Linked DNA regions of Cricetulus griseus. The protein of the gene in region 1 interacts with the protein of each later gene in a biochemical or structural test. Links are inferred from orthologs where the notes say so. Each region holds a gene or a part of one and is shown on either strand. Other genes may lie near its edges.

Evidence for each region.
Region 2: the proteins of Sytl4 (region 1) and Rab8a form a complex in vitro, tested with the Homo sapiens proteins (2 studies listed by BioGRID). The link is inferred for Cricetulus griseus from reciprocal best matches to the Homo sapiens genes SYTL4 and RAB8A.

The regions. Positions count from the first base shown.
Region 1 is NC_048604.1:46,164,983-46,168,797, forward strand, and holds part of Sytl4 (synaptotagmin-like protein 4), read left to right. Parts: coding exon 1-2; intron 3-230; coding exon 231-446; intron 447-582; coding exon 583-692; intron 693-937; coding exon 938-1,040; intron 1,041-3,815. UniProt on the Homo sapiens protein: Modulates exocytosis of dense-core granules and secretion of hormones in the pancreas and the pituitary. Interacts with vesicles containing negatively charged phospholipids in a Ca(2+)-independent manner.
Region 2 is NW_023276806.1:246,924,368-246,928,282, forward strand, and holds the start of Rab8a (ras-related protein Rab-8A), read left to right. Parts: upstream 1-1,085; 5' UTR 1,086-1,121; coding exon 1,122-1,245; intron 1,246-3,915. UniProt on the Homo sapiens protein: The small GTPases Rab are key regulators of intracellular membrane trafficking, from the formation of transport vesicles to their fusion with membranes.

The DNA.
Region 1 (3,815 bases):
AGGTAAGAGGCCCAGAAATAGTATGCATTTCTGGACTTCCAACAAAGGATACCCAGACTTTCCCATTGCTTCTTCACTCACTGTCAGAACTCCACATAGGATTTGACAGCTCAGTGGGTCAAGTTGGGCTCCGAGTTTCTTCCTTTTACACAACCTAGTAGTCTTACTGTCAATACCTCAGCTTGTGAAGATCCTGAACCCATTTGTGCTTCTCTTTTGGGTCTTGGCAGGCGACTGAAGAATGAGCTACTGGAGATAAAACGCAAAGGTGCCAAAAGGGGCAGCCAGCACTACAGTGATCGGACCTGTGCCCGGTGCCAGGAGGGCCTGGGCCGTTTGATTCCCAAGAACAACACTTGTGTGGGTTGTAATCATTTAGTGTGTCGAGAATGCCGCATTCTGGAAAGTAATGGTTCCTGGCGGTGCAAGGTGTGCGCCAAGGAAATGTGAGTGTTACTTAACAACAGCATAGTAAAGAGGGGAGATGAGTCAGGCTGTAGTGTGAATTTTTTTCTCATCAACTTGGTTAGTTGAATGGCAGAGTTTATTATTTATACATCTGACCTTTTTCTTTTCTCCCAGAGAGCTGAAGAAAGCAACTGGAGATTGGTTTTATGACCAGAAAGTAAACCGCTTCGCTTACCGAACAGGCAGTGAGATAATCAGGATGTCTCTGCGCAGGAAGCCTGCAGGTATTGAACCAGGCTAGAGGCTGTTCCCTGAAGGCCCCAGCATCAGGGTTAGTTAGGCTTTTGGAGAATGCAGCTGTAGTCTAGTCAGTGGCCATTTAACTCCAGGGGCTCAGGCAGTTTGGGGAAACATAAAAGAATGTGTCTGCCCCATCTGCAAGTGTGTGTTTGGGGTGGGGGAGATATTTTGAAAGTTGTCTCCTTCCTTGCTCTGGTTACTACTACTCTGCCACATTTTTGTTTTGAAGCAAATAAAAGAGAGACAGTGGGACAGTCCCTCCTTCAGCAGACACAGATGGCCGATATCTGGCCAGGAAGAAAGATCATTCAGGAACAACAGAAGGAATCCAGGTAAGAGCCAAGGAATTGTTATTGTTCAATTCTTCTATTACTTTTACTTCGTTTTCTAAAACAATAGGCACTATTAGAGGGAGTTTGGAAAGTACAGATAAAATCAAAGAAGGAGAAAAAATCAATCTTGATCTGATTATGTAAATATCAACATTTAGGCAAATTTACTTTGTTCTTATGTGCACTGTGCTGTGAAAAAGAAAACCATCCACTCTTAACAACAATTTACTTAAAAAGTTCTGTGTCTGTAGACAGGTATGTTCACATGTACGCAGGTGCTTTCAGAGGCTGGAGGGGTGTTAGATACCCTGGAGTTGGACTCCTATGCAGCTTTGAGCCACTTGACAACAGTACTGGGAACTGAACTTTGGTCCTCTGCCAGAGCAATAAGCATCCTTAATTGTGGAGCCACTTCATCTCGCCAGTCACCATGAGCTTTCTTCCATACCTTCCTAATCTTTTCTTTTATTCTTGGTGTTGGTTACTAAAATTATTTAATTTTTTGCAGGCTTTGTTATATTTTCTTTCTGTTATGCAGCCATAAATCAACAGAGTTTAAGGCCTGGTTTAGTTTTAGTTTCATATTTATAAGGATGGTTTGCTTGTACTTAGGCCTTGCACAGTGACTTCTCTACTACTGAATTCCTTCCTTTGGCTCTATTTCTTGGTTGTCTAGACTTCATCATTGGGAAGTGCTTCCAGGAAGGCTTTGTGATGTTTATTGAATTCTTTCATGTTCATGATGCCTGCCCAACTACCTTTGTACTTGAATAGCATCTTAGCTGAGCCTTACAGACTTGAGTCATGTTTTCTTCTCTCAGACTACTATAGATGTAGCTCTGTTGTCTTCTGCCATTGACTCTAACTATGAAGAAGGCCATCTTGACATTTTTATCCTTGTAGGTAACTTTGTGTGTGCACATGCACAAATGCACACAGGTGTGCATGGGCATGAGAATTTGTGTGGATAAGTAGTTGGATTTACTGAACAAATACATTTCCTTCAATATTAGTAACAAGAATGTAAGTCAACAATTATTCTGAACTACTATTTCTTGAAATTTGATATATTCTTGATATTTTCTTCATCGTTAGAATTTTTCTGTATCATGTCCTTAAACAGTTTTTCCTGTTTTGTTAGTTAAGGGCACCACTGTAACAATAAATCTTTCCACCAAGTTGCCAAAGTCCTGCTGCCATGTGGGTGCTTTCCACCAGGCTGCCCAAGTTCTGCTCGCCACCACATTAAGGTCCCAAGTAACATACAGAGACTTATATTAGGTACAAATGCTGCTTGGCCAAAGACTAGGATTTCTCATCTGCTAGCTCAGTCTTTGTTTTGTTTTGTTTTGTTTTGTTTTGTTTTTTCGAGACAGGGTTTCTCTGTGGCTTTGGAGGCTGTCCTGGAACTAGCTCTTGTAGACCAGGCTGGTCTCGAACTCACAGAGATCCACCTGCCTCTGCCTCCCTAGTGCTGGGATTAAAGGCATGCACCACCAAGGCCCAGCTTGCTAGCTCAGTCTTAATTATCATAAATCTATATATTTTATAAGACTTATCTTATCGAGGACGCCTCCCACTGGCACCCTCTCTTGCTGGCGAATCACATGGCGACTCCAGAGCAGAGACCAGGAGGAAGAGCAAGTGGAAAAGGATGACTTCCTTCTTGATCTTACTTATATATGAGTCTGCCTGCTATATCACTTCCTTCCTGGATCTCTACTACATTTCCCAGAATCCTCCTTGACTCCTAGTCCCATCTAACTTGCTGCCTCATTGGCCAAACAGCACTTTATCATCCAATAAGACAAACACATACACAGAAGCACTTCCACCATCATACCACCTCAAGGATATTGGAATTCATTTATCCTCTATTTCTGTAATGTGTTTTAAAAGTTTATGATGCAAAAGAGAAAGATGGAAGCAATTAACTGTGGAGACCCCAACTTATTCTTTCCCTCCATGCTATTTGGGTTTGGGACCTGACTTTCAATCACTAGATCCTATGTAAAACCCAGGTATTACCATGTACCTGAACCAGTTGCTTTGTGTGGAAGGAAGGAAAGAACCACTGAGACTTGGCAAGTACCCTAGCTCTAGGCTTGGTGGAAGACCCTGTTTCAAGGGAATAAGGTATCCATAAAGCCAACCCTACATGCTACTGACCTGCCAGGCAAAATGCACCCACTGGTACAATAGTGGCATGGAGTTTATAAGGATAACTAACAAACTGCTCCACAGAAAGAATTCAGGCCTGGTATTGTAAACCTGATCATATGCCTGTGGTTCAGCAGGACAGAGAGATGCCCTAGGGAAAAGCCTACAACTGTTGTATGGATTGTTTGAATCTGTAAATTGCTTTTAGTAAAATAGCCATTTTCACAATTTGACTTTTCACATGTTGATTTTTTTCAATTGATGAACCTGGGAGGTCTTTCCATCTTCTAGTATATTTCTCAATTAATTTCTTCAGTGTTTTAAAATTATTATAGAAGTCTTTTATATCCTTGGTTAGGTTTATTCCAATGTATTTTTTTAGGTTATTATGACTGGAACTGTTTTCTTTTTCAGTATGCTTCTCATTTGTGTGTAGAGAGACTAGTGATTTTGTGTATTAATTTTATATTTTGCCACTTTGCTGAAGATCTTTATCAGTTTTAAAAGTTTTCTGGTGGTGTCTTTAGGGTTTATTATGTATATACAATAACTTCATTCATGATAGCTAAAACCTGGAAACAATTCAAGTGCCCACCAATAGGTGAATGGCTAAGC
Region 2 (3,915 bases), on another chromosome or scaffold:
CGGGCTCTGATTCTAGGGACAAAGTGTGTTTCTTTCACAAGTTCTTTTAGCTTTTGGCTCTAGTTTTAGAACCAAGGTATATTTCTTTCACTGACTCTGATTCCAGGGCCAAAGTGTGTTTCTTTGGCACTTATTGCAGGGCCAAAGTGTGTTTCTCTGGCTGGCCCTTTTTCCCTACACCCAGCACTCAGAAGGCAGAGGCAGGCGCATCTCTGTGAGTTCGAGGCCAGCCTGGTCTACAGAGCAAGTTTCAGGACAGCCTCCAAAGCTACACAGAGAAACACTTTCTCGAAAAAAACAAAAACAAAAACCCAGAAGGGAAGGAAGTGCCACTGTAAAGCCTGGGAAAGTCACCTCACCTATAGCGTCAGCATACTCAGCCGCTGGTGTGGGGTGAAGGAGCCTGCATTTCCGGCGGGCACAGAACAAACACTGCCATTACACTGATCTGCCACTGTCCTACCAGCGCCTGCCCCCGCTACGGCCTCTGGGATGGCACGCCTCAGGGCCTCGCGTGGCGGGCTCACTGGGGCGAGCCCGGAGGCCTCGGCCGAAAAACCTCCACAAGGGAGTGAGCGCAGTGACTCATGCACTTCCCGCGCTTCGCCGCAGTGCCTAAATGCGACTGCGCGGGCTGCGAAGGCGGGAAAGCTGAGGCGTCCTCCGCGCGCGTGCGCCCTCTGCTGGAGCCAACCGTCTTCCAGCACGCATGCGCATTTTCACCAAGCCCGTCCGTCCCTCGCCGCCCCTAGCGCGCGGAATTGTTGGGGTCCCTCCCGTCAGGGGCGGGGAATGAGAAGGTGGGGCCAGGGCATAGCCACGCCCACCGCCGTTCATTTGAAGCCCCCCCACTCCGACTCTCCATCTCTAGCCAATCACAAATCTCGCTACCCCAAGGGCCAGCCAATGAGCGGCGCGGTGCGGCTGCTTCCGGCTCTGCGCCGGATTCGTCTCTTTGCCCTGAGCTCCCTGCGACGGGCGGGGCTCCGGAGGGCGGGCGTCGGCCTCGGTGACGCGCGGCGGGCCGAGGTCCAATAGGGGGCGGGATCTGAGATGATGGACGGGTCTAGCGGCCAGTGGCGAGGCGCCGGCCGGACTTCCCGTCGGGGAGAGAGTGTAATATGGCGAAGACCTACGATTACCTGTTCAAGCTGCTGCTGATCGGGGACTCGGGGGTGGGGAAGACCTGTGTCCTGTTCCGCTTCTCCGAGGACGCCTTCAACTCCACGTTCATCTCCACCATAGGTAGCGGCGCCTCGGGGCGGCCGGGGACCGGGGCTGGGCGCGCCCCTGTGGGGCTGGGCTGAGGGATCGGCTCGGTATCCACCCGGGCCGAGGATCCGGGAGGGTCGTGGGCCCTGACGGAGGACCGCAGCGGCCTCCGTCTCCTCGAGGGGACGCCGCGAACGAGGTGCAGACGGGAACACTCAGGCTGCTGTCTGAGGGAGAGGCTGCCCTGGGCTGGGGTCCTGGAGCCTGTCAACTCTCTGTCCTCACAGCAGCCCTCGAGACGGTAATTTTGGGAGAGATCCCCGTCTTACAGAAGTGGAAACTGAGGCATGGAAGTGACACCTGACCTCGTGCATCATTCCCTATGTGCCAGGTTCGGCCTGTGCACTATCAAATACTGTAGTGCTCTCGGGTTGGGTGTTGTGTCGCTGAAGGAGGAATTTGAAACTGAGGGAGGGTGTGGCACGCACTGAAGGTCAGTCTACAGGTGTCAGGGTTGAGATTTGAACCCATGTGTATCTGACTCCCAAATTCGAGGCCTAGCTGTCCCAGAGAGGTGCCGCCTTATACCCTCACAGGGCCAGCACCATCAATTAACCTTTAAGTCAGGACTCCAACCCAAAGTCCTGCTGCCCTCTGCCTGAGGAGTGGTGCTAGTACCTGTCACCCTGGTGGAGATGTGAGAAAAAAGTTCCTGTGAGAAACTAAGATCGGCCACGGCCACGTGCAGCCTTGACAGGACACCACCTGTCACTTCCTGAACAGCTTTCCCCCAGGGCTGCCTCACGGTGCAGTTGAACAGAATTGGCTTGTGATTGACAAAGTCCTGATGTCAAAAATGGCACAGACCTTGGACCTGGAAGTAACTCCTGTCAAACAGGGTGGTCTGCATGCTGTATGGCCCTGGAACAAGAGAATGGTGCCTAGGCCTGGTTTATCCCAGGCCAAGCTGTTGTTCAGTTGGTGCAGTCCTGGGGTCCATCCCCAGCATCCTGAAACCAGGTGTGCTGGTAAATAGCTGTAATGACAGCACTAGGTAGGTGGAGGCAGGTGGATCAGGAGTTCGGGTCATCCTTGGTTACATAGACTGTTCAAGGCCAGGTTGAGCTACATGAGTCCTGGCTCAGAAAGAAAAGGAAAACATAGGGAATGATTTCTGTGTAATGTCAACTAAGCTGTATTGTCTCCCTGACCGGACCATTGTGTGCTAATGTCATCGGAACTCTCCTTCCTGGTGGGCACTCTAAAACAGTCAGGTGTCAAGTACAGAAAATTATACCTGGACTCCAGGTGCTGTTCATCCTTGAACAGGCTCTGACCTTTCTTATGTGATTTGGTTTAGAGCAGATGTGGCACTGTCTGTCTTGGCTGGTGCCCGGGGTGGTTGAGGGTTAGCTCTATACAACGAGTGAAGAGGTCCATCTGGGGGAAGCGGAGGGTTTAGACACCCCTGGACACAGGTGCATCTGAAGCTTCTCCCCTCCCCCCCCCAAAACATCCAGCTTTGGAGTCACCCTTAGGTGAGGACCAAGCAGGAAATGACAATAGCTGCCCACAGGCTCTGGCTTGCTCTCAACACAGACCTCAGTTTCCCGGCCTCAGACACTTCCTAGTCACCAACGTATTAGTTCAGGGTGGTTTTCTGTTTGTTTGCTTGCTTGCTTTATTGTGTGTGTGTGTGTGTGTGTGTGTGTGTGTGCTCTTGCATACTCATGCATATATATGAGGGCTGGAGGCTAGAGGTTGACACCAGAGTGAACTGGTTGTCAACAACCAGATCAGTCACTCTCCTTGCTGCTGCTTTTTCTTTTTTCTTTTTTTTTAATTATTTTATTCGGAAGGTAGGTGCATGCTGGTGCACATGTGGGGGTCAGAGGACAATCTGTGGGAGTCTGTTCTTTCCTTCCACCATGTGGATCATTGGGACTGATCTCAGGCTGCCAGGCTTATGGGCAAGTACCTTTACCCACCAAGCCATCTTTGCTGAGTCTCTCACTGAACCTGGAGCTCACTGAACCTGGAGCTAGCCCTAGGACCCTTCTTTCTCTGTGTCACCAGTGCTGGGATTGTAAGTTGATACCACCATGCCCAGGTATTTTTATATGGGTTCGAGGGATCAAACATGTCCCTAGCCCTTGTTTGTTTGTTTGTTTGTTTGTTTGTTTGTTTGTTTGTTTGAAACAGGCTGGCCTAGAATTCACTGTGTAAACCATGCTGTCCTGGAACTCTTGGAAATCTGCCTGCCCCTGTTTCCCAAATGCTGGAATTACAGATATGAGCCATCCTGCTCCACTGGTTTTGTTACATTTATTTTGTGTGTGTGCATATATGCCAAAGTCAGGAGACAACTTGTGGGAGTTAGTTTTTTTCCTTTCACCAAGTGGGCCCCAGGAATTGAACTCACATCATCAGGCTTAGTGGCAAGCACCTTTACCTGATGAGGTTTCTTGTAGGCTCTTGTTTTACATCTCACGTGTGTTTCTCCAGTTTTTCTTTTTGAAGTACTGGATATGGAGCCCAGGTTAACCACATATCTGACCACTGATCATATCCATCTGGATGGTTTGAAACTCTTGATCAGAAAACCAACTTAGTCCTTCGGGGTCCCTGGGAGACAGCCCTCCTTTACAGTGAGGTAAAGGTAGCACTTGAACCAGGATCTCTCCCTCCCCAAATCAGCATCAC